3 linked regions of the Oreochromis niloticus genome follow. The protein of the gene in region 1 purifies or fractionates together with the protein of each later gene. This does not show direct contact. Links are inferred from orthologs where the notes say so. Each region holds a gene or a part of one and is shown on either strand. Other genes may lie near its edges. The genes, in order: phlpp2, usp46 and usp1.

The links.
Region 2: the proteins of phlpp2 (region 1) and usp46 purify together in Homo sapiens (affinity purification with mass spectrometry; 4 studies listed by BioGRID and IntAct, counting the BioPlex papers as one, with this or other methods). This does not show direct contact. The link is inferred for Oreochromis niloticus from reciprocal best matches to the Homo sapiens genes PHLPP2 and USP46.
Region 3: the proteins of phlpp2 (region 1) and usp1 purify together in Homo sapiens (affinity purification with mass spectrometry; 3 studies listed by BioGRID and IntAct, with this or other methods). This does not show direct contact. The link is inferred for Oreochromis niloticus from reciprocal best matches to the Homo sapiens genes PHLPP2 and USP1.

The regions. Positions count from the first base shown.
Region 1 is NC_031965.2:21,822,260-21,830,147, forward strand, and holds the start of phlpp2 (PH domain leucine-rich repeat-containing protein phosphatase 2), read right to left. Parts: upstream 3,031-7,888; 5' UTR 2,801-3,030; coding exon 2,588-2,800; intron 1,936-2,587; exon of another isoform or gene 1,765-1,935; coding exon of another isoform or gene 1,753-1,764; intron 855-1,752; coding exon 571-854; intron 1-570. UniProt on the Homo sapiens protein: Protein phosphatase involved in regulation of Akt and PKC signaling.
Region 2 is NC_031986.2:37,319,353-37,327,408, forward strand, and holds the start of usp46 (ubiquitin carboxyl-terminal hydrolase 46), read right to left. Parts: upstream 3,090-8,056; 5' UTR 2,709-3,089; coding exon 2,673-2,708; intron 1-2,672. UniProt on the Homo sapiens protein: Deubiquitinating enzyme that plays a role in behavior, possibly by regulating GABA action. May act by mediating the deubiquitination of GAD1/GAD67.
Region 3 is NC_031981.2:33,420,500-33,428,389, reverse strand, and holds the start of usp1 (ubiquitin carboxyl-terminal hydrolase 1), read right to left. Parts: upstream 3,078-7,890; 5' UTR 2,709-3,077; intron 2,681-2,708; exon of another isoform or gene 2,501-2,680; intron 2,227-2,500; 5' UTR 2,159-2,226; coding exon 1,986-2,158; intron 1,658-1,985; coding exon 1,513-1,657; intron 1-1,512. UniProt on the Homo sapiens protein: Negative regulator of DNA damage repair which specifically deubiquitinates monoubiquitinated FANCD2. Also involved in PCNA-mediated translesion synthesis (TLS) by deubiquitinating monoubiquitinated PCNA.

The sequences.
Region 1 (7,888 bases):
ATCTTCACGTAGGTTTTCCAAGGGAAGCAAACAAGGAACTGAATCTTTCCTGGTCACAGACTAGTGAACCAGCTTTTCATCCTTTCACAGATCATCAATTACTATTTCAGTCTACACATGTCTTGTACAGCGGTGAGAGGCGTAGAGATATGTTCCCTGAGCGTATCCTAGGTGAGGAGCTGTGGGAGTGCGGGATGATAGGGCAACTGCAGCAAGTCCTCAGTGGTGTGTTTACCTTCTTTGCATTAACTGAGGATGAGATTGTATTATATATTTTTAGCAAGCTCCCATTTCACGTGCTTATATTTGCATAACTCTTTTTATGCTTCGATTTGTCTCTTATTTACTTAACATGATTAATTGGTATTAATTTAATGAAGCTGTTGAATGCCTGATGCATGTGTTGGCCCCATCTTGAGTAGCTGATGTGGACTGAACTCTCTTTTCTCTGCAGTTCTAAAAGGGAACAGGTATATTTGGAGTATTCCTACCATGCCTTAATTTATTTTGTCCTTCAGGGAATAGCTGAACGCAACTTTGTCACCATGATTCGACACGATGTAAATTTACCTCACTAGGTCTCCGTGCAGTTGAACGTAAAGTGCGTGTCCGTTCTTCTGAGCACACAGCTCCTCCACCGTGGTACTGGTGGAGCAGAGCACCAACTGCAGGTCTGTCTGAGGGGTGGAGGAGGCCTGTGTGCCAGAGGCAGGTGGCTGAGGGTCTACTGTTCCCCCATACAGACACACACAGCCCCGCTGGGTGTCCCCTTTCAGCCAGTCCCGCTCTCGTGATCCAAACCTGGTTTTTCTCGTCACGCAGCTTCGACTCCCGTTCCGCTTCATGTTGCGCTGCTAACACAGAAAAACACAGAATATTAGTCTTTCTCACACACAGATTGTAATCAAAAACATAGCATAAGAGGCAAGGGGCATCTGAGGAAACAGAGAGTGGTTCAAGATGGACTACACACTCTCCCAGACGTGCTGGGGGTTTAATCCAGCCAAAAATCAATTTGCGCTGGTAGTTACCAATTGGATAATCTTCATAGAAATGTTCGCTCTACCCTAAACTAAAGTCAACCATTAAAGTTTATTCATTCGCAGTGAGGGTGGACGGTGTGACTGCTGTGAGGAACCACAGCACCATTATTTTCACTAATCACCCGTGATGACATTAGCCGGATGTGGAGTAGCCTAATGTTACTCTTAAACAGACATCAATGAAGAATAATCCTCTCCTGAACGATAAAATATCAGTAACAGCAGTTCTTCGTGAGGGTGGAGTTTATCACGCGGGATGCATTTAGATCTAGTCAGTACAAAGAAAGATATCAAAGGTCTGGAGAGCATCCGCTCTGGTGACAAACAGGTATCATTGCTGCTGTTTTTAAATGATGTCATCTTCAGCCTCCAGTGGCTTCCATGTTCGATAAGCCTGACAGTAAAAGGTGTGATAACTGATCGTTCTTGGTTGGGTTTTTGAACAGCATTGGCCACAGTCTCTCAGTATTTGGTACAGTTACTCAATAACTGATTTAATGATTGATTTCCTGTTAAAATAACAGTAATTTTATCTTGATTAATCTGATGAATTACTTGGCAAATCCTCTCATTTAATGCCCAACAGAAGGCTTAATTTGTTTCTTTTCTTAGACTCTTTCTGTACAGTAACAAAGTCATATCCCATTTGAAGCCTCTATTCTCAAGGTCAAGAATAAACATCCACTCTCACTACTTAAATGGATCATACCTGGAGTAGCATTGCTTCAGAGGTTAGAGAGTTAAGGCTGTGATCAGGCGAACGGTTGGCTTAAACTAAGAGGTCACAGAGAAAGTAAAGTGCAGATGTCTTCTTTGTCAGCAGCTGTGAAGGTGTGTCTGATGAAGCTGTGGAATCACCCCACTGGACTACAGATGTCCTGGGCACCTCCCCAGTATGGATGTGTGTCACTGTGAATGTGACTGAACAAGCTGTCCGGACTCACAAGGAAGTGCCTCTACTTTATAAATAATCTATATCTGAGACCTATAACTGTGAAAAGAATTCACTTACCCACCTTTATGACAGGCAGGTAGAAACTAATGCTCTGCGTACAAACATCAAGGTGTTTAATACTCCGGGATTACCTATTTCATTGCAAATCCTCAAATACCTCTTTTAAATATAATAAACGAGTAATGCTCACAGTCTAAATGAAATACCACAGCTGAGGTTCTCTGTATGTACGCGCGTGTCTCTGAGGCAGCTTTGGGGACTTGCGTGTTATTACTCATCATGTCTTCCCCTAAAAATTTCTAAGAAAACAGTTCAGCAGCGGGCCTCGCTATATACCAGCTATGAGTGCCTGTAGTGTGTGGTCTGCTGCTGTTACCGGCTCCGGTGCATTCCTGACTGCCTCGGATCAATTATCAATTAGACGCGATATCACAGCATTTACATAACACTGCCGGGAAGGATGCGAGCGTATCCGTGGATGCACTTTGCCCTGTTCCGAGCACCTACTGCGATGTAAGCGACACCTTCACATGACAGTTGTCGATCACTTTAAATCCCCCCCCGTTTGCTCCCTCTGGTTATGACCTGCCTTTAGCACTCGGATCCCCGTCGCAGCGTGAGCTCCGGGACCACTGCGGCTGCCGCGACCCGCAGTCTGATTCAGCCCCGCCTGGTGGACCACCGTGTCCGGCTGCCTGTCTATGCAAGCCCCGTTATCTCCGACATCACCTCCTCTCTTGATGCCCGTTCGGACGTTGGTCGCAGCGACCTCCGCGTTATTGTCCTCGTCCTCCATCGCCATGTGTGATCCCTTTTAACGGCGGCAAAAAGCAAGCGATGTCCCGGCGCGCGACTTGTAAATTCCCACGGAGAGGTGAAAATTCATCCTGTGTCGGTGCAGCGACGCCATATCCCGACTCATCTGACTGCTGTCAGATAGGCCCCGGAGAGCTGATCAATAAACATGACATGGGCGGGCTCAGGGTATTTATTATTCAGCAGCCAATGGGCCTTTCTGAAGCGGGATGCTTCATAATAATGATGAGGCAAGTTTTCCCACTTGATGCAGTCGCAAAAACACGAGAGGTGTTTGCAGGGCGTGTCATTAAGCGTTAACCCTCTGCTGCACCTATTCAATGAGAGGGGAGAAAGAAAGGCTCATTTTGCATTAGTCTGTGGATAAAACTTTCTTTTATCATTAAGTAAATAGGAAGAAAATGTTTAAAAATGCATTTATCTGCTGGGTGTGTCAGACATGTGTTCATGTTTTGTAGTGTCTCGTGATGGGTTTACAGTCTGTGTTTAAAAGCAGTTGTTCTAAGCTGTATGGGGCGCCCCATATAAGCTGTGTCACAAACATTACGGTTTTTGCGCATGACTTTGGGTGTGACCGGCCTGTCGCTCTGAATTGGGTAAGTGGAAAAGGTTGATTTGATGGATGGGTGGATTCAGGGTGAACCTTGTCACACATAGCTATTGAGGTTCCCTGAATAGGGACAGCAGTTTACATTGGAATGTTTGCTGTCCTGTGAATATCTAAGAACACCCCATGATTCAGTAGCTTGTTAAACCACCTTTAGAAGCAATAACTGAAATAATGGTTTTCTTTGTGACTCTGCGTGTGTTACATGGTTGTGAAGTAATTTTTGCCGGCTCTTCTTTTCATTGTTGCTTAATTTCATTGAGGTTTGCTGGCATTCATTTTTGCAAAGCTCTCTTAAGCTCCAGTCACCGCATTTTAATCTGATTGAGGTCTGAACTTTACTGGGTCATTGCAACACCTTGATTCTTTTCTTTTTCAGCCAGTCTGCTGTACATTCACTGCTGTGCTCGCCATGTTGCATGACCCAGTTTGGGCAGAGCTTTGGCTGTCAGACGGATAGCCTTGTATTTGACTCTGGAATACTGTGGCATTGAGAGGAATTGGCTAAATCTCTGTCTGCAGGTTGCCCGGGTCTTGCAGCTACAGAACATGCCCAGATCATCATCCCTCCACCACCGTGCTTGATATTTGATGAGAGATGTTTGTGCTGATATGTTGCATCTGTTTTCCACCAAACACTGCACTGTGCATTATAACCACACACCTTTGTTCAGATGCAACTTTGCAAATCTAAAGTGTGCTGTCATGCCCTCCTTAAAGAGAAGAGGCTTTCTCCTAGCAACCCTTCCAAACAAGCCTTATTACTTATTGGCTTTTTTTTCTAATAGTACTGTCATGAACTTCATCATTTATCATGCTGACTGAGGCAGGTAGAGTCTGAGATGCTGGTCTTGTGTTGCTTTTACAATTTTCCTGAGCATCACAGAGTCTGACTTTCGAGTGAATTTGAAGGGATAGACATTCCTGGCAAGACTGTAGCATCGTTACACACCTGAATGTTGCAGATCACACTGATCAAATGCTAGCAGCACCTGCCTGCCACTTACTCTTAATTCCTATGGAAGGAGTAACTGTGCATTTAGATTTTCATTAGGCAGCCTGGAGTCCTGTGAAAACCCTTTCACACGACTAAATCTTGAGTGAAAAGTACCCAGGCAACAAGGAGAAAATTTCTGAAAACAGGAAACAAAAAAACGAAAAAGACGTGGCTTCTCTTCAGACACATTTTTAATATTTTTTGCAGTTCAAGTCATTTCTAAAGCAAATAATCTGATCTTCTTGGCTTACTATATGAACCTAAGAAATGATGATAGATAAGTGACTCCCATACCTTTTTAGATTGCTTTGACACCTTTATGATCATTTCACTTGGTCGCAATCCTTTAGAAACTGTGCAGTAGAGGCTTAATTTTGGCCAGAGAGCCAAGTAAGCAATTTACTCAAGGGGCCACAAATCCAAGTGTTATATGCTGACTAATCTATAATTTCAATTCTGAATGCCTTACAATTTTCTTTTCATTTTGTAGAACTCCCTCACAATAAGGCACAACACATGCCTTTTGGCTCTTTCTTAATTCTCCCCTCTATATCATAAAGGTCAGTTTAATTTTAACCCACGTCCAGTCATGGTTTTTAAATGCTGATTAAAAACAGATACATAGCACTCACACATCCACTCATACTTGGAGTCGACATTAACAGCACGAAACATTTTAAAAAATCTAGGTGTTTATAATAGCAATAAACTCATTTCTATTTATATCTAATTCTTATCCCAGTTTTCAACATTTGATAAACAGGACATAAAACAATTAGAAATGATCCATCCTTGGTATAAATATTAACAAATGAATAAATTGAGCCCAGCATTTCTTTTCGGTAGACGACTCTTATACACAAGACCCCAAAGCATGAAAGAAAACTACCGTAGCTCATGTAGATTTTTATTTGACTTTTTATTCGCTTGATCATTTTCTCCAACCCAAAGACAAGAATACACAGCATAAATTGAAAATATCCCATTTAATAGTTTACAACTCCTCATCTTTAGTCATCCTTTTATATCTTCAGTCTGACATTCACACTCACCTTGAAGTCACAGAACTGGGATACAGTTCATACGAGTCAAAAGTGAACCTCATGCCTTCACCCTCCCCCAACTAATCAGATACAGTTTTGTTTTCAGTCAGGGCAGGTCACGGGTTCGGGGGTGTGTGTGTACAGATTCCGTTTTCAAAATACAGCAGATGCATTTTTATTTTATTTTTATTTTTTTTTAATTCAACAGGGTAAGTTCATGAACGTGGTGGCAATTCAGACGCTTTCCCAAGCCCTTTGCACACTGAATTCACCCCCCAAAAAACAAAAAACAAACAAACAAACAAACAAAAGAAAAATCCAAAAAACAAAACAAAAAAAAAAAAAAGCAATAACCAATAAACCGAATGACAGATGCTTTAAAAACATCGACAGCAATGTGAGCACTATTTCAACAACTGCTTATTGTACATGTTAGTACTGACCCATGAAGGTGGTGTGACAGATTCATATAATTGGAACTTTTCTAGCACTTCAAAAGAGTCTTAGATCGAGAGTAGAAATGGTGTTATTTACACTGGTTTTCACATGCAGCTCAGAAGCTGAAAGCAATTGCAGCCAAAAATCATGTCCTATGTAGACAGAAGACATGTTGCACACCATCACATCCTCTCGGGCATGACTCTCCCTCTCTCTCTCACACACACACTCTCACACACACACACGTCACTGACCACACCTCTGATGAGTACTTGATTCCATTTCTTCTCTTCCTTTTACAGTTACAGTGTCCAAAGCACTTATGTTGGGTTCATTTCCATTTGTAGGTTTTAAACAGCATGAATGACTGAATCTTAAAAAGAAACCATCTGATGTGACGGACAAGGGTACATACTGGTTGAGTAAGACAATACAAACAACACAAAAACATTCAGGAACAGTATGAGTATCAAACTTCCTTTCCCATCCCTTCAGCCTTCCATTTTGCACAGCTCCCCCTTGTGGTTATTAGCCAGCTACACAGGCTTTTTCCCCTCTGCCCCAGTTTTGTTTCAGTTCTTGAACAGCAGAAATGGATTAAAAACAAAATTATAAAGACTCAGACAAAAAGAATCCACCCACTGCTGTTCACCACATCCTGCCTTGATTTACAGCCACTTAAAGTCTGGTTTAGAATAGCGAGGACCCAGATCGTTTTTTTGTTAACTGTTATATTGGAGATCACAAAGCGTTTACTGAAAGTTGTGCCATGCTATAATGGACTAAAAAAGGACCCAAAAGAAAGCACTGTGTTGTTCTGAATACAGCGAGCACACAATATCTATCGCTGTGAGCTGAAAAACCCCTTTGTGTGGCACCGATAAGGGCCTTGACTGTTTGGGTAGAGATGCAAAAACAAAAAGACAACCAGGCAGCTAAGAGAGATCACACACCAGAATAATGAAGAAAGAGGGGGTGGGCTTCATTTCACAAAACAATTTGCAGATTGAAAAGCGTTTAATAGAGGTGAAGTGTCAAAGAGTGCACATAAGGCCAGAAGGAAGAGCAGCTTCTTGGTAAATAAGCCGCCGCTCTTCCACAGGAGGGCACGGATACATGAGGTGTTTGAGGGGCAGAGAAGCAGATGGAGCAAGGTGCCATTTCTGCTGCTGCCTCTGTGCAGCACTGTGCTTAGGTTTCTCAGTAGTACATCACCCATACAACATCTGTTAGGACAGATTTAACCCTTTTTTCCAACATCCAAAAAAGGAATCTCGTCATGTGGCCCAATGACTCACAAAGTATCATCGTAAAAGAAAAGACGACATCATGAATGAAGCATGAGCATGTCATTTGCATCCTTCTTAAGATTCGTTTTGTACATATATGCATACAATTATACTTTCTAGCTAATCTTTTTAAGTCTTCATGTGGGTTTTATTTAATCTGATCAGCGTTCGTTTTACAACTATATACAATGTACAGGCAGCAGATCATATACCTTTTACAATGAATGAGTGATGATACAGGGAAGTCTTAATAGACTAATGTTGACTAGATCTATTTAGACAATATACATTGTGAATAATTGGAATTTTCTTTTAGAAAATGGCATCTAAAAAAAGGATGAGAGATAGTACAAGAGACAAAAATTGTAAAAGCCCTCAATATGTACAGAAAAAAAGCCAATATAGCATTTGTCAACAACAGAAAAGAAGAAAAAAAGTTAAACTGAAATTATTTTCTCCATATACACATATCATAGCTCAAAAATATTTCCAAAGCTAATAGTCTCTCTGATTTGGTCACAGAAGTTAGAAGACAGTGAAGCATAGTGAAAATAATTACACAGCCTGATGAGGATCTCAGCACAGCATCGTCACAGGGCTGCTAAGGTTAAGTAATGAGATGCACAAACTACTGTTAGTTTCTCTCATGCAGATGCTCCCCCTTGATTGTAATTCGTGACTAAGCAAGATGTCAATCTAC
Region 2 (8,056 bases), on another chromosome or scaffold:
GGCAAAACAAAACTGACTTAATTAATAAAATGATTTTTTCTAAAAAATTTGAAGATCTCAATTTTCTGCAGAAAGCACACACTTCCACACATCTTGCTTCCTTTGGTCAGAACAACAAGTCATGTCAACGTAGAAAACGGATATAGTCTAAATAGGTAGACCCGTATCAAAAGTCGGGACTCTTGCTGCACCCAATTGCTGAGACAGAGCACTTATCTCTTGTCAGAGGCTTTTCACTTGTCAGAGCTCAAAGCTTTTTCAAATGAATCACAGCTTTGTTGAGTGAACACAGCAGACAATTTAGGTTGGGGAAGGCTTTGACTTCTAATGACTGTCATTTCTCATCTGTCAAAGCAGACAATGGATACCCGTCTGTCCGGCTTACCACTTCCAGTCTCCAATGTTTTGGGAAACATGCAGGTCCCAGGAGAGACGAATTACCAAGGAGAGTCCACACATGAATTATCCATCCAACCTTTACTGACATCTGAAGCCACATTTTGAAATTTGAGCTCCTTCTGATAACAGGAAGTGGGCAGTGGTATTGTTAATTTAGAAAGGAATAAATTCTTAAAGGAGAGATATTATGCTCCTTTCTACATGTTTATTTGATTAAGAGAGACAGCTTGAAATAACAATTATTCATCCAACACTGAAGGTGCACTGTTGCCTCACAGCAAGAAGGTTCCTAATTGAACTTGTTGCCCTGCATGTGTGCAGTCTGCATGTTCTCCTTGCTCCTGCACGAGTTTTCTCATGCAATTTAGGTTAGTCAGTGTTAAGAAAAATCCATGGATAATAATAATAATGATAATATAATGACTGGTGCAAAACACTGTAGCATTTTATCTGCCCATATCCATCAGTGCGTCCTTAACTTGTAACATCTCGATTAGATTACTTAGTTAAGACTATTTAATAAATAGGGTTAGGGACATACTGAGTGGGAATGCGCCGATCTGATATTTCGATCAGGATAAAAAATGTTTTTTAAAAAAATCACATGATGATGGCTTCCTGTGAACTGCTTGTTCCCGCTTTATGTCTGGTGGAACACTTGTTGCGAGGCTTTTACTAGTGTAGTAATATATATATATTTTACTATATATACTATATATATATTGCAGTTGGTTTCACTGGAATATACCTAGCCTGCTGGAGGCTTCCCATGAGTGTTTCTTCTTCACTCACCTCTTTTCACTCAGTGTATTTATACAGCACTATTCATTTACCCATGACTTATTATTAATCTCCGCTCTCTCTTTCACAGTGTGTCTTTTGTCTTGTCTTCCTCCCCACACCCCTCAACAAGTTGTAGCAGATGGCTGTCCTTCCATGAGCCTGGTCCTGCTAGCTTTTTTTCCTGTTAAAGGGGAGTTTTTCCTTCCCATTGTCACCAAGTGCTCATACTGTCTTAGCCTTACAATATAAAGTGCCTTGAGGTGTCTTTGGTGCTCTATACATAATACTGAACTATGTGTGTGTATATATATATATATATATATATATATATAAAAAAAAAAAAAAAAAAACACCCAGCGCGCCCCTGCGGCGGTTTATCCTTCAAGCTCGGGTCCTCTACCAGAGGCCTGGGAGCTTGAGGGTCCTGCGCAGTATCTTAGCTGTTCCCAGGACTGCGCTCTTCTGGACAGAGATCTCCGATGTTGTTCCCGGGATCTGCTGGAGCCACTCGCCTAGCTTGGGAGTCACCGCACCTAGTGCTCCGATTACCACGGGGACCACCGTTACCTTCACCCTCCACATCCTCTCGAGCTCTTCTCTGAGCCCTTGGTATTTCTCCAGCTTCTCGTGTTCCTTCTTCCTGATGTTGCTGTCATTCGGGACCGCTACATCGATCACTACAGCCGTCTTCTTCTGTTTGTCTATATATTTTGTTTTTTTTCCTTCTGTTTGACTCCCTTGCCATTAATTATTTCCAGAAAAAAGGACAGGACAAAACATTGTTGTAAAATTAAAGGAGATTCTGAATATATATATATATATCTAGAAACAAAAGAAAAACACCACACATCCTGATGAGATATGGATTAATATATCAGTCTGTGCAATCTAAGAACTCCAGCAGCTCTAAGATGAGACTGACACTGCAGGCTTTTCACATTAGCATCTAGTCTAAATAAAGCAAAGGCCACTGGCATTAGGCAGAGCCGTTTAAGTCTGTTCTTACCCACTCTTCACTGCCCCTGAACACCAGGAGCACAGATTAGTGTGGATTCCTGCTCTGTGCTACCAGGATGTAACCGGTCCTTTGCTGCAGCACCACATTATGCAATCACACCAAGCTGTCAAAGGCAGCACGCTCCCCCCATCCCTCTTGTCAATCACCGGTGACAACTATACAAACTGTACATTGTGTTGTCTCGCCAGGATGCAACACACAATGCAAACGCTCCCGGCAAGCTGCAGCGTGCAAAGGTGCACAAAAGGGGCCCTGTCTGAGCGACAGCACTGAGACCAACTAAAGTATGGGGCCACGATTTAAACTACTGTGTATACTCGTTTTTTTAAAAAAAACCCTGCAGTGTGCACATTCTCTGGGTGCAGGTGGGAGGCGACTCATCACACACACACACTCTCACACACACAACCAGGTTCAGCACAGTGCCTGCAAGCGGATCGATATCAACACGGAAAAGCAGCGAGTTACTCACCATATTACAAATGGAGGCGATGTTTCTGACAGTCATTTAGTTTACAGTGTCCCCTTCACCGCCATCTTTATAAAATAAATAGAGCAAGGCGACGCTGAGCAATGAAGTTAATTCGCAGTCGAGGCTGGAGGCCAGACTGCAACCTCAAGCGTCAGAAAGCAGGCAGAGAGGCACGGAGCACCATGCAGCCGGCACGGAGCTGAGGGGGACTCTCAGTGTGGACACGGCTGCATCCTCGCACACATATCGAACACCCCTCAGCTGGAAAACGACAGTGCACGAGGGGACAGACGAAAGTTGCAGGCAGCAGGTTGTTAGCAACGTCTAGGAAACGAGCCTGCTGTGTGAGGAAGCATTACAGTCCCGCCCACCAGGGGAAACCCCCGGAGCTGATTGGTCCGGATTTAGTCGAATTGATTGACATGATTGAAGAGCCACATACAGACCTGCACGGTAGAGTTTAAGTGAGCCGCAACCAATCATCTGCGATTTAGAGCAGGGATTTGTAGTTCGTTTTGTGATTTGTGAAATTTAAAAGGACTGAAGGGTTTATGCAAAAAGCTTTCTAGTGACATAAAAACATATATTATGCTTTATAACACAGACAAGTAATTCCCCCATAAAGAAGAAAGAAGTGGTGTGAGCCAAAAATCATGTTTTCAGGTCTAACGACGCAAACAGCACATTCTTAAACCAGCAGCTTTTTTTTTTTTTGCTATATGATACCTTTTGAAGTTGTCAATACATATGTTTTAAGAGTAGTCGCTGTAGCTCAGAAGCTAGAGTGGTTCGCAAAAGGTCAGTGGTTTGATTCCTGCCTCATCTGGTCTGCATGTCCAAGTATCCTTGGGCAAGATACTGAACTCCGAGTTGTCCCAGATGCATCCACCAGTGTGTGAGTTAGTTAAAAGTACTTAAGCATAGAAAAAAAATTATGAATGGGTAAAGACACTGAATTTGATTCCATTTCAATGCAATTTTACATTATAATATTAGAGAGAAAACCCAAACAATCAGATATGTATCTATGATCAAGCAACGGTGAGAAGGAAAAAGTCAGTTTTAACAGGAAGAAACCTCCAGCAGAACCAGAGTCAGGGTGGAGCAGCCATCTGCTGTGTCCCGTGGAAAGGAGCCAGAGTTCATGAATTACTAATGATTACATACAGTACTGGTGTATAAACACACGGGCAGTAAAAAAGAGATGAGTAAAGAAGACTTTACTTTTCAGCGTCAATTTCTAAATAGGCTGTTTCTAAATATTAGAGATATTGTGAAAATGACTAAAGGGAGTCTTTACATATTTGTGTAATATAGAAGCCGTAAGAAGATCGTTATTTACAATATTCACTAGTGCTGTTTCTGTGCTATGATGTATTTTAAATCCTGATTAAAATGCTTCAAATAAACTATTCCTTTGGAAATGATCAGTTAAAAGTCACAGTGATGGTTTAGAGGAAGACATTAAGTTAACTCAGTATGATCAATTGGACAGAAAGCGTCTAAATAAAGAGTCCAATATCAGTAATTTTGAAAGTTGCTGTACTTAATGGCACATCTTTTTTCTTAAAAATTTAATTTTTAATCAAAACATTTATTGAAGTCATTTTCTGAGAAATCAGCTAGAAACTATGAGGTGAATGATAGATAACAAATAAAGCTGTTTTTTGAGTTTTCTGGGTCTTTGGTTGATTAATAACAGGGAGTGAAAGATTGCAGCCACTCCTCCTCCTCGGCCTTAGCTTTGAGGATTCTGACAGTCAGTATGACTCATTTAAGCTAACGTATTCATCCTGCATCCTCTGCTTCCTGGTTCCATTTGACCTTGAAGTCCACATCATGTTTTGGACACCCAGCATTTTAAGGAGAACATGCAGCTAACCATGTCACTCCTGGCACGAGACTCAATATTAAATTTTAGTGACCTCCGATTGACGCAAATGGGTGTCATTACTGTCATTGTGATTTGCAATCTCACTGAATATATGCTTACTTTTAGACAGCAGTATCAAATTTTCTCCAGTGTTGTCTGCTCTAGCCCTGGAATACAGTTAACTATGGTTACTGGAGTCTCTAGCTTCACATTTCTAAAAGTGCTTTGACTACTCAAATGGAGCAGAAAAGTATGAGTTCAGTTACTAGAATTACTGTTTCGCAATTTTTCCAGTATTGTAATTTACACCCTTGTCTGTCCTGTCTCTTATATAGAGATCTGCCAGCAGAGATTATTGCCACCAGTTCAGTATCCAAAATAAAATATGATCACAGTCTCCTTTATTTCAAGGCTGCGAAAAAGTGTTTTTGCATAATATTACAATGCAACAATTTTGACCTCTTGGTCAAAATTGCAAATTTCTTCATCATTTTATCCCGTTTTACATTTCTGGAAAATTTTGCCATTGTCATAAATTTAGGAATTCTTGAGTTACAGGTCCTTGCATGCAAAGCTGTTTTCACATATGCACTACACATTCCCGGGCAGAGTTACACATAGGAATCCAAATGTCTGACTCACTTAGTTCAGCCAGTAAGTGGATTTTAACCTGCCAACTCTCTAGCATAAAGACTGTGTGATATCAAATTAAGCCCATGTGTGAACAAAGCAGGTCATTGTCTTGTAAACTTACAGTAAGCGAATGGGTGTCATGTATTCTACCTCCTGCATGTGCTGCTCAACTATTCAGCTTAAATTAGATGAAATATTTCCAGTAGTAAAAATGCATCTGAAGCAACACGAATCTCTTATTCTGTGCAAAATGTCATAACATTAACAACTTGAAAACAAGTAAAAACAGCCTGGGTGAATGTGATCATATTTGAAGAATTTCTATCCAACAGATATTGTGTTTAACCTGAAAACAAACGAAAAACAATCGAACAAGGCATACAAGAAAATTAATATTCAAATTTCATAAATATATGGCATTCACATTGAGTTTGTTTTATTTGTCCAGGAAGTGAAACTCCTGAGATTAATTACCTCTTTGTAGGATTCTTCTGGGGCCAAGATAGATATATTCCAAGTTGGCAATACCTATTTATTCGGTTTTTTTTATTTAAAAAAAAGAAGAAAGCACTCCTGAATAAAGCCCAAACAAGCACATATGGAACATGTAAACTCCACATAGAAGGACCCTGCCTGAGTTTGAACAAGAATCCATTTACTGTGAGACACCAGTGCTAACCAAATTCACCAATCCAAAATCAGTTTGGAAAAGGTAACATAATATATCCTGTTTTCATGATGCATCCCTTGGGATCTTTCCTGGAACGCTGCTTGCTTTTTAAACCTCTGCTTCTTTTAAATTTCAAATGGCCTGTTTGCAATCCAGGCCTTCTGTTTAAAAAGTAGACCTCAACCCTTGATAATATCAAAAAGAGATTTCTTTAGACTTCAGAGGAATCCTTTCTGAAACTGAGAGGCCTCAGAGATAATCCTTTACACTTTGAAAACGTATGTTGTGTACTGGCCATCATTCTTTTGCAAGGTGACATTCTGTAAATTATCATTTAATTTCCAGTTATTCGGTTCTCTAACTGACAATTAGCTGACCATGAGGAAGAGAGAGAGGGCATTATGAGGTAAGGACACCTCAGGAGTCCTGGGCCCTCGGGACACTCTCATTTACCAGCAGCTTTGTTTGTGCTTTCAAAACATTCCCTCAGCAATTATCCCCTTAGCATTTCAATATGAACAAAAAGAAAGGAAAACAATGAATAATTATGACAGACATACTTCAAAAGGGACGGGAAAAGGAGAAAGGAATAAGAGTGTTAACAGAAAAACAAACAACAGAATAACAGGGGGGACAGTTTGAGCTGTGGAGGATGGGAGAGCTACATTGTTGATCAGATGTTTTGTATGCACCATGTACTTACTCAGAATCTTGCTGACTGATGTGTTCTCATGGTTTATCTGTGAAAAACGTTTGATGGATGGGAAAACAATTACATGTGGTTGAAGCTCTTGGCTCTTGACACAAAACATTCCCAGACTTGCTTTCTATTTCGGTCCAGTCAGTATTAATAGGACAGAGACCACAGTGGATGCAGATGCCATGACTCATACTGCTTTTATTGTCATTTTTCCTGCTCTTTATGTTCTCAGTAAGTAACCATAAGAGCAAGAAAAATATGGTCATTGTAAAAGCATTTACAATGAAACCCAGCTCCTGTTCTGCATCTCTGATGATCTATTCCCTGATGAGATCAAATCAGTTTTATCTCCTATCTCTGTAACTTTGCAGGACAGCTCATGTATCGGCAGAAGGCCTCAGGTGAACCGAAAAGGTGGGTCAATCGGTCTGCGTTTATCTGGAGTTTTAATCTCTCTCATCTAGTGTTTTCCTCTTCATGTTTAGGTGGAGCTGACAGGACGTCTGCATTCACAACATGTAAAAAATGAACCTCAAAGAACCTTCTCTGCTTGCCTCATTTGAGACCAGAAGTGGGGCTAAATGTTTGGGCAAGGGAACACACAAAAAAATTTTTTAATCTTGAGTTTCAAAAAAAAAAGTTTCCAGTAAAAGAGGCTGGCTACGCCGCTAAAAGCACCGATGACCTTCCTGTTGTTTAGCTGCTACAAAGAGAGGCAAAATGAATTATGCATCACGAGGAAATAATCCTTCCCAGTTTAGGCTGTGATTCACTGCCGACTTGTGACATCTGGCACAGGCTTCTGAAACATCAAGGTTAGGAACAGTTTATTAAGATTGTTGTAGAAAAGTTTAAACCCCTCCTCCAACCACTGTATGTGAGACACAGTGTCTGTCTGTTCCTGGGGACTGACTATGTTATGATGACTGCTAATACCAGATGAGTCATAAGTCAAGTTTTTACAAACAAATTTTGCATGTTCAGAATGATTCAGTTGGTGTGACATTTCTTTATACACTTGTAGTATTTGAAGTGAAAATAAAAGCGTTTTGTGACAGACTTTTGCTCTGATCTGAACTTGTCTCACGTTTTAAGCCACAATTTCCACTTGCATCACCAAAAACTAGTAATTGACAAAACTATCCGTGTGCATACGAACAGGTTAGATATACGTGTCAATTAAATGTTGCTACATCAAATAAGGAGCTAGACGTTCAGCTTGTGTGACAGTGATAGTGCCACGTCATATCGATGACTACTATTTCTTTTATTTTGTGATGGTTTCATGTTCAGAATTGGAAGCAGAAACAAAGCAGGTTTTAGTATCTTTCTGCAGCTGCAGGGCATCTGAAATGGAGAGGCAGGTTATAGTGTTTGCTCTATTGTATGTCAGAGCTCTGGATCTTATGTCCTGTCTCAAAAGCATGAGGAAGCCTTTTTCTTATTTATTATCTTGTTAGGCTTCTCAGTACAAAGATTTCAAAGTTGGCAAATAGGAAGAAGATGTA
Region 3 (7,890 bases), on another chromosome or scaffold:
GCATCCATTGGACGTAAAACGTCCAGCTTATTGCACCAGCATGCATCTGCTCTTATATAACTATCATTAGCTTACAGCTTTAAGTGTTTAAAGTATGTGCTAACTAAACATAAAGACAAGATGATATTTTATTAAATTTTAATGAAATCTGCAGATTGTTTAGGTGAAGTTTAATAAACTCAGCAGTCTGCTCCTTGCTATCTAAAATATAACAGTATATTCTCGAGCATCTCACACTTCTGATAATCAGTTGTCTGTTTGACGTTTATTCAGCTGTGTAAAAACTATAACTTTAATCTCAGCCAAACCAATTTACTCAGGAACAAATAAAATACTAAAAAAAGCCAAACAATATCATTTTTAAGTTATCTAAGTGACTTATATATCACGTTTAACCTGAGTAGCGAAAGACAGCGGTGGGTTTGAAAACGATTTGCCGGGAGTCCGGTGTTCTCAACGGCTCTAGTGAGCCTTGAACCCCGGCTAGCTATCGAGCTGGTGGGTAACAGACGTCTCCGAAAACGTCGGAGCACTTTTGAGAACATGTGGTGTCTTGATAAACTGAGCAGATATTTGAGGTTTACACAGCTACATTCTCGCCTGAAAATAGGTTAAACGTTTATTTTGTGACCCAGAAAGAATAATAAGAGTAATATTAAAACTAACTAGCTGCCGCCATCATTGGAAACTGAGCAGGGCCGCGCTATGAATTCTGGGACACAGCTTCTTCTTCTTTGGGGTTTAACGGCAGCAGGCATCCTTGTACATGCAGTGCTGCCATCTTCTGTTTCAGTCCGTTATTACACTCTTAAATCCTACTACTTACTCCTGCGTCTTTTGGGATCTTACAAAGCTTCAAACGACGCGTCGACTATTAAATTAGTCGTCGACGATTTTGATAGTTGACGTAATCGTGACTAGTCGACTAATCGTGGCAGCCCTAGTTTCCAGAGATATTTACCTACAGAGATGGGTTTTTAACCAACAGAAATGTGCTGACTGGTTGACAAGTGGGCCAGAACAGGGAAAGAAGTTCAAAAAAAAAAAAAAATGTATGAGAAGTACAGTCAGAGGTTGCAGTGGATACTGTACATTGTTTACAACACTCAGTAGTAGCCTACAGACCGGTCGAACCACTTTTTTTTTTTTTTTTTAGCACTGCCTCCATTTGACTACAGAGGCTCTCTGCAGGTAGAACAGTCCAAAGCTCCCCACAGACTGCCATCACACTACAACCGCTGAACCACAATTTCCCCATCAGAAAATTGAACATTCCCAACATCACAAGAACATCCACTTCTGAGTGGGATAACACAGGTGAACAGGTTTGAGGATTCAATGCAACTTAAATCGCACAAGAACAAACCACACACACTGTTAAGTTTCTGTGCAGTTTTCAACTTTTCCTTCAGTATATTTAAGCCCATCCTACCATTTGTACTAAAACACTGGAACAAGTGACAAAACATCTATTAACGCTGGAAATTAACTCCATCTGTGGTAATGGCTCACCTGTAAGATGCTGTTCAAATAGCAGGTATTGCCCAGATTATTGAGTCCCACGAACGGCACCAAGTTCTCTCTCTTCTCGCAGGACAGGAGGAGGCTGGGTGAGGAAGGACACTGAGAAGGCCCAGGGACCACCTGATCGCAGCTGCTGATCGGTTAAGAAGAAAGCAAACAGAAAGTCAGCAGCTAATAAATTGAATTTCACAAATGACAGCCACCATCGCGGGCACACACTGTTTTTAAAATGATTACACTGAGATTAATGTTGAAGTCTAACACCAGCTTGATTGAGATGAAGCCTATTAAAATCTAAGGTGTCACTCATCTACACGTGCATTATCCTGCCCTCACAACAACAGTGGAATTCCCGTAATTATCTAAATGTAACTGTGGGAAAACGAGTGCTTCGGGCTGCCCAAAACACATCAGTCTGGAAAACTATTTGTGTTTGACGCACACTGGTAGCAGAGACCTACCTTGCCTCAGGCTCCTCTGGCTCACATGTTTTGGGTTCTTCTGTCTGAGGTTCAGAGAAATCCAGAGCCCGCTTGGTTTCCTTCTTCTGGAAGAACTTCAGAGAGAGTTTGCTCTTCTTCACTGGGCTCCCCGGAGCCGCTACTACCACACTTTCACCCTGCAGACCTGGCATCTTTCCTCTCAGTACCTTGAGGGCGATTTTTCTTTTAAATTCCTACTGAGACGCAACAGCGAACCTCACTGGTGAAAAATGGAAACACACAATGTAATTTCAGCGGGCGCCATCAGAGTTCAACGAGAACGAACGTAGCTGCGCACTTAAGTTCATGGTCCACTATTGTGCAGCTACACACGGACAGGTTCAGTCTAATCAAGCACACACTTCTCAATAATACAGTCGAACCGGTTATTGACCGAACCACGCATTATATAACATGTTAGCTGGCTAACGCTAACTTAAAGGTGGTACTTTGTTTCAGTCCCTCCCACAAACAACCGCTATAGAACGGCTTACGTTAGCAGCTGTTTTCGTTTTAAATGACAGGGTAGCGACAAATAACTCGGCGTTTTTTGAGCACGTTGCGCACATCACAGCGACAAACTGGCTCGAGAAGGTGCGGTGAAGAAGTGGGAGGAGAAAACAGAAAGCACGCCGTTTCAAACTGTTCACGGCCAAAAAGGACTTCTTTGAAATCCCAGCAGAGTCGAGAACCAAAACTCACCCGAATGCTTCATTCCAGTTTAAGCTTGATATTTTCCATTAAATATCCCGTCTCGAAATGCTTTAAGGACTGTTTAACAATTCAGACGGTGCAACAGAAGTTGGCGCTTTTTCCTGCTTGAAGATTCGTTGGCCGCTACATCGCCGGCAGCGCTCGGATATCGCGTCAAATCATCCGGCCAAAATGTTTAAAAAAAACGGTCACTACTAAGCTTGAAAATATTTCAGGTGTTGCCGAACATTTGGAAATGCGCGCAGAACTCTGGAATATTCTATACCTGAAAAGATTTACATGCCAGATTTCAGGCTAATGTTAAGACAACTATTTCGGCTAGACCCAACCGGCCAGCTCCCAGCGCCATTCTTGTAGTCCTTTCTCCAGCTCCTTCTAATTAAAAGTCGAGCTAAACTTGAACAGTCATTTCTCATGTCTCACTTTTTTTCCCTTTTGAAGGACTAAGATTTTAAATACAGGACATAAAAAAAAAATTGCTTTCATTAAATGAATGTAAAAAAAAAAAAAAAAAAAAAAAGGTATACAACTCATCAAGGCTTCCATGGAAGCCAAGGGCCACAGAGGCTTTCAAATTTCAAGTTGAGACAAGCTGAAGCTGGTCTGTTGTATAAGAGGTATAATTTGGGAGACTGTGCTCTATATTTCTTGAATCCTCTTCACATTTTATATATCTGATCCAACACCAAATTGCGATTTACAGAAAAATGGTTAACATAGAATCAGATGTTTGTATAGAAAGCATAATATTATTAAGTACAAACCAATGAGCAGTGTTGGGGAGTAACGGAATACATGTACCGCCGTTACGTATTCAGAATACAAAATATGAGTAACTGTATTCCGTTACAGTTACCGTTTAAAAAGGTGGTATTCAGAATACAGTTACTTTGGTGAAATAAATGGAATACACGGCGGTACTTCCCTGTTTCATATTGTCGCGGGTCAGGATTGTTTGGGTTTGTTTGACAGCTACGTTCTGTTGTTCCAGGCGGCAGCGTTACGGTTGCCATGGTTACAGGGTGACGCTCTCTCTCTGCGTGTTTCCTGGGTGAGACAGCGCCTTTGTGTTGTTGTTGTTGTGCTAAGCTAATAGGCAGACTGCTACAGGCATAGCTCTAAAGAATGTAGCATCATGGGCAGTGTAGTCCGTGCTGCAGGGAGAATGGACTACCATACCCGTTATGTGTCTGTGAGCGAGGGAGGGAGAGAAAGGAAAAGTCCGAGCTGTCACGGAGCAAAAACGGGAGCTGGAAGCATGTAAATATAATAATAACCACAGCAGCCAAGAAGAGAGCCTGAGGAGCCCATTTGTAAGTAAGCTATTAAGACTCAACTGTACACTGTGTTCGTGTTTTCCTCCGGGAAAAATAAGTTCCGTTGGAGCAGCCTTTCAACGCCTCTCTCTGTCTCCCGCAAGCAAAGTTGACCCAGACAACAAAGTAAAGCTAGTTTTCGGCTACCAGCCCGACACGAACCCGACGTATTAGCCCGAGGTCCCTTTACTACGTTTCGGACCTTCAGTAACAGTAATAAATCACAGCAATAGTACATTCACGTAGTTGTAAACAGCATGATAATATATTAAGTATTCCAAAGTATTCAGAATACGTTACTGTCATTGAGTAACGTAACGGAATACGTTACAGAATACATTTTGGGGCATGTATTCAGTATTCTGTAGTGGAATACATTTTAAAAGTAACCTTCCCAACACTGCCAATGAGTATGAACAAAACTGGGTCCAACAGCAAAAAAAATAAAAAAAATAAATCATTACCTGAAAAAAAACCCCACGAGACTATAATAGTATAGTTATATAATAGTAAATTATGAATTATGCTCAGTCATCCAGGTAAGAAAATCCCACAAAGTTGAATCTGTTCATCTAGAGGTACATTTCAGTGGGAAAAACGTTTCATCTCTCATCAAAGTGACTTTTTCAGCTGACTGCAGCTTTCCCCAGCATTATAAGCAGTTCATTTGCATGATGACTGAAAACACCCACAAATGACTAACAATGGGCCATTGATCAATGATCACAGTGACTGCAATAACAACACTTTAAGATGGTGAATGATGTATTCTTAGGCTAATACAGGGCAGGGAAGCTGAAGGATTCCTGGTTATCCCAGACCATTCTGAACATGGAGGCAAGAAGGTCATTTACATGAAAAGGGAATGACCATCTTTGAAGCAAGGACAGGGCCTTACTTCACCATTTTACAGCGCTGTTTGTGGCTATTCTCCAATTCTCTTTGAATGGTACTCATGGCCACTGATGAATGGTCTTGACAGTTTGCATATTAACGATCATAAAAATAAACTTTGGCCCTGTCAGCTGTTGTGCTGTGCTCTCATTAATGATATCAAGTCATTGTGAGCCAGAACCAAAATCCTGTCACAAGGTAGATGCTGCAATAAAAAAGGTAAAAAGTGTCTGACATTAAAAAATGCCCTTTTCCAAGAGAGAACTGGACAAGCAGAAATTGCAGCAAGTTTAACATCCCAGTCCTATAAAGATATTCTAAGTGGTCAAAAAGGACTGGATTGATTATAATGTAATTACAATAATGGAGTCAAAGATACTTGCAGACAGGTATTTTTTTTTTCAATCTTATACAGTGACTACAGTCTATTAACCAATATAAGAAAAGCTATTACGCATAAAAAAAAAATGTAGAATTGAACTAGATCTGACCTTTTTTGACAGTTGATCACTTTTTGGCACAACAGGGGAAATCTGCAGTCCTCCAAGTTAGGAAGTCACTGCCACCAGATAACCGGGGTTGATTTTCTGGGATTAAGTAAGTTAGTTTAGTTTGAGTGGGGATGAGATTTTTGCACGTACCATTTAAAGTCGTAGATAACAAACCAAGCAAATGTCCTACTAAAATCCTGAGCAAGAACATGGCAACCACCGACTTTCATTAGCCAGTTCTTTTATTTTGAAAAAAGTAAACGGAAGTTTATAGTTTGCAGCTGTTAAAATGAAACTATATATTTTTTGTGGAACCAAAGTATATTTGTGGACTTTTGTTTAATAACGAAGCTTGTCCCACATCAGCTGTTCATAATTGTATTTAAGGAAGCCATTTACATGTATACATAATACATAAAAAGGGAGAGAAACCAAAACGCTTATTGTACAGGCACTGCCCGCTTTGCACCAACAGGGGACGACATTATCCAGCCGAACGGAGATCGATCTGTCCAGTAGTATCATTCCCTCCTTCACCGGAGCATCTCATCGTTTGACAGTCTCCGAGGCTATCCCTCCGCGACTGTGACGGTAAGACACTGTTTACGTTTCCCCTGCTTCCAGCGTTAATTGATAAACCTAAATCTGCTCGAATAGCCGGGCCGCGAGTGCGTCTAGTTTAATCTTCTTTACAGCTTATTTGTATCAGTTGCACTGTTTTGCTTTAACAGTATTACAGAGTGCTTTGGCTGGCGTGTTTTTTTTGTTTTTGTTTGTTTGTTTGCTTTTTTTTTTTACGATATAGAGAGGATCGCATCACCTGAAAGCGGCACAGACATGGGGAGACGGCAGGTGTTTCGTTTCATCCATGCACGTAGTCAGTGCAGGCATTTGTCAGTACGACAGTATGAAGGCTGGACGATCCGCTGCTGCTGTTGCTACAGCTGCTGCTGCTGCTGCTGCAGAGTGGTTGCTTGGTCAGCAGCAACGTACCGATGGACACTGAGCTGCTGTGCCTCAGCTTCCAGAAAACCTCAGTGGCTTTCAGGCTGATGGTGGTAGGATGTTGCAGTAAGGATGCTGATGCAGTAGTGGATGGGAGTACTTTAGGGGTGCTAAGACTTCCTGTGGGACTGTAGATGATGATGCCATCGCCATCCTTCAGTCTGATGGCTCAGAATACTCTTCAGTCTCCAGCTCTGAGGTAGCTTTAACAGCAAACCTCTTAATTAACTTACTAGAGCCTACCAGAGTCCCACACTTCACTTAAAGTGGGTTCAGTTTATCCTAAATCACTCTTGTTGTGTGACTTCATTACAGATCAAACAAGCAGCTAGTGATCTCTTTAGATTACAGAAGGCGGGCCGGGGAGGGGATGTGTTGGATATGCTTTCTCTCTCACTCACCATTTAAATCCTAACCAGGAGACTCACATTCAGGAGGATTACTGTGTTTCGCTTCTCTCATCACCTCCTTATAACAGAATTTTATAAAGAGGGCATAGCCAGGTCACCCACGTATCAAGCTGCTGTATGCTGAAGGGTCAAATGTAAGCAGGGCTTTATTTTCCGGTATTTTGGACGCTGAATACGATAACTGGAGAGATCTGTGCTATGAAACGTTGGTGGCAATACTCTCTCTCACCGGAGAGACTTTCCATTTTTAGAAGGCATACAAAAAAAAAAAATGACTCGAGGAACAGTGATGAAGAAAAAAAGCTTCTCTTGTACCTGAATGTAACACATTCAGATACTGTTTATGGACCAGTTTTACAAGAACTTGAGTAATGAGGTGCTTGAATTATGCAAGTGGCCTTCATCAAGGTTGGCCTTGTCCCACGAGGCCCAAAGCTCTAGTGGCTGGAGCGGTAGAGGTGGGTGGTGTGGCGGGCTTAAAGCCCAAGAGACAAAACAGCCCCCCTCCTCCAGCCTCCAGCCTGGTTCTCTCTCAAGAACTGAGCGCTGGTAGGAAAATGAAAGCATGCTGAACGACAGGCAGTGGTGAACTCCAAGAATGAGAAGCATGTCCAAGTCTGCTACACTTGTGTGCACATATGTACTCAGAAATGCAATGAAAAACAGAGACTTTTCTTTCAGCTTAGAGCAGCTGGGACAAAGGAAAACTGGAGCGTGATCCAAAAAAGCAAAAACACAAGCATAAGTGAACAGTTTACGCTTCTCACTTTTCACATGTTTTGCATCCTGTCTGAGAGGGGTTTATAAGGATAGGGAGAAGAGAATGGATGGATATGTTTATCTGCTGCACTATGACTATAACTGTAACATCAACACTTTATTCCATTCCTTTCTCACACAGAAAGTAGTTTGGTGTGTAAGCGTGTCAGTGAAAGTAAGTTAAAGGGACCCTTTATAAGTATGCATGTGTGCATAACCCTGCATGGATGGATATTTGCATATATCAGATCAGATCAGATCTCAGGCTGCACATAGGATTCCTCTCTCTCTCCTA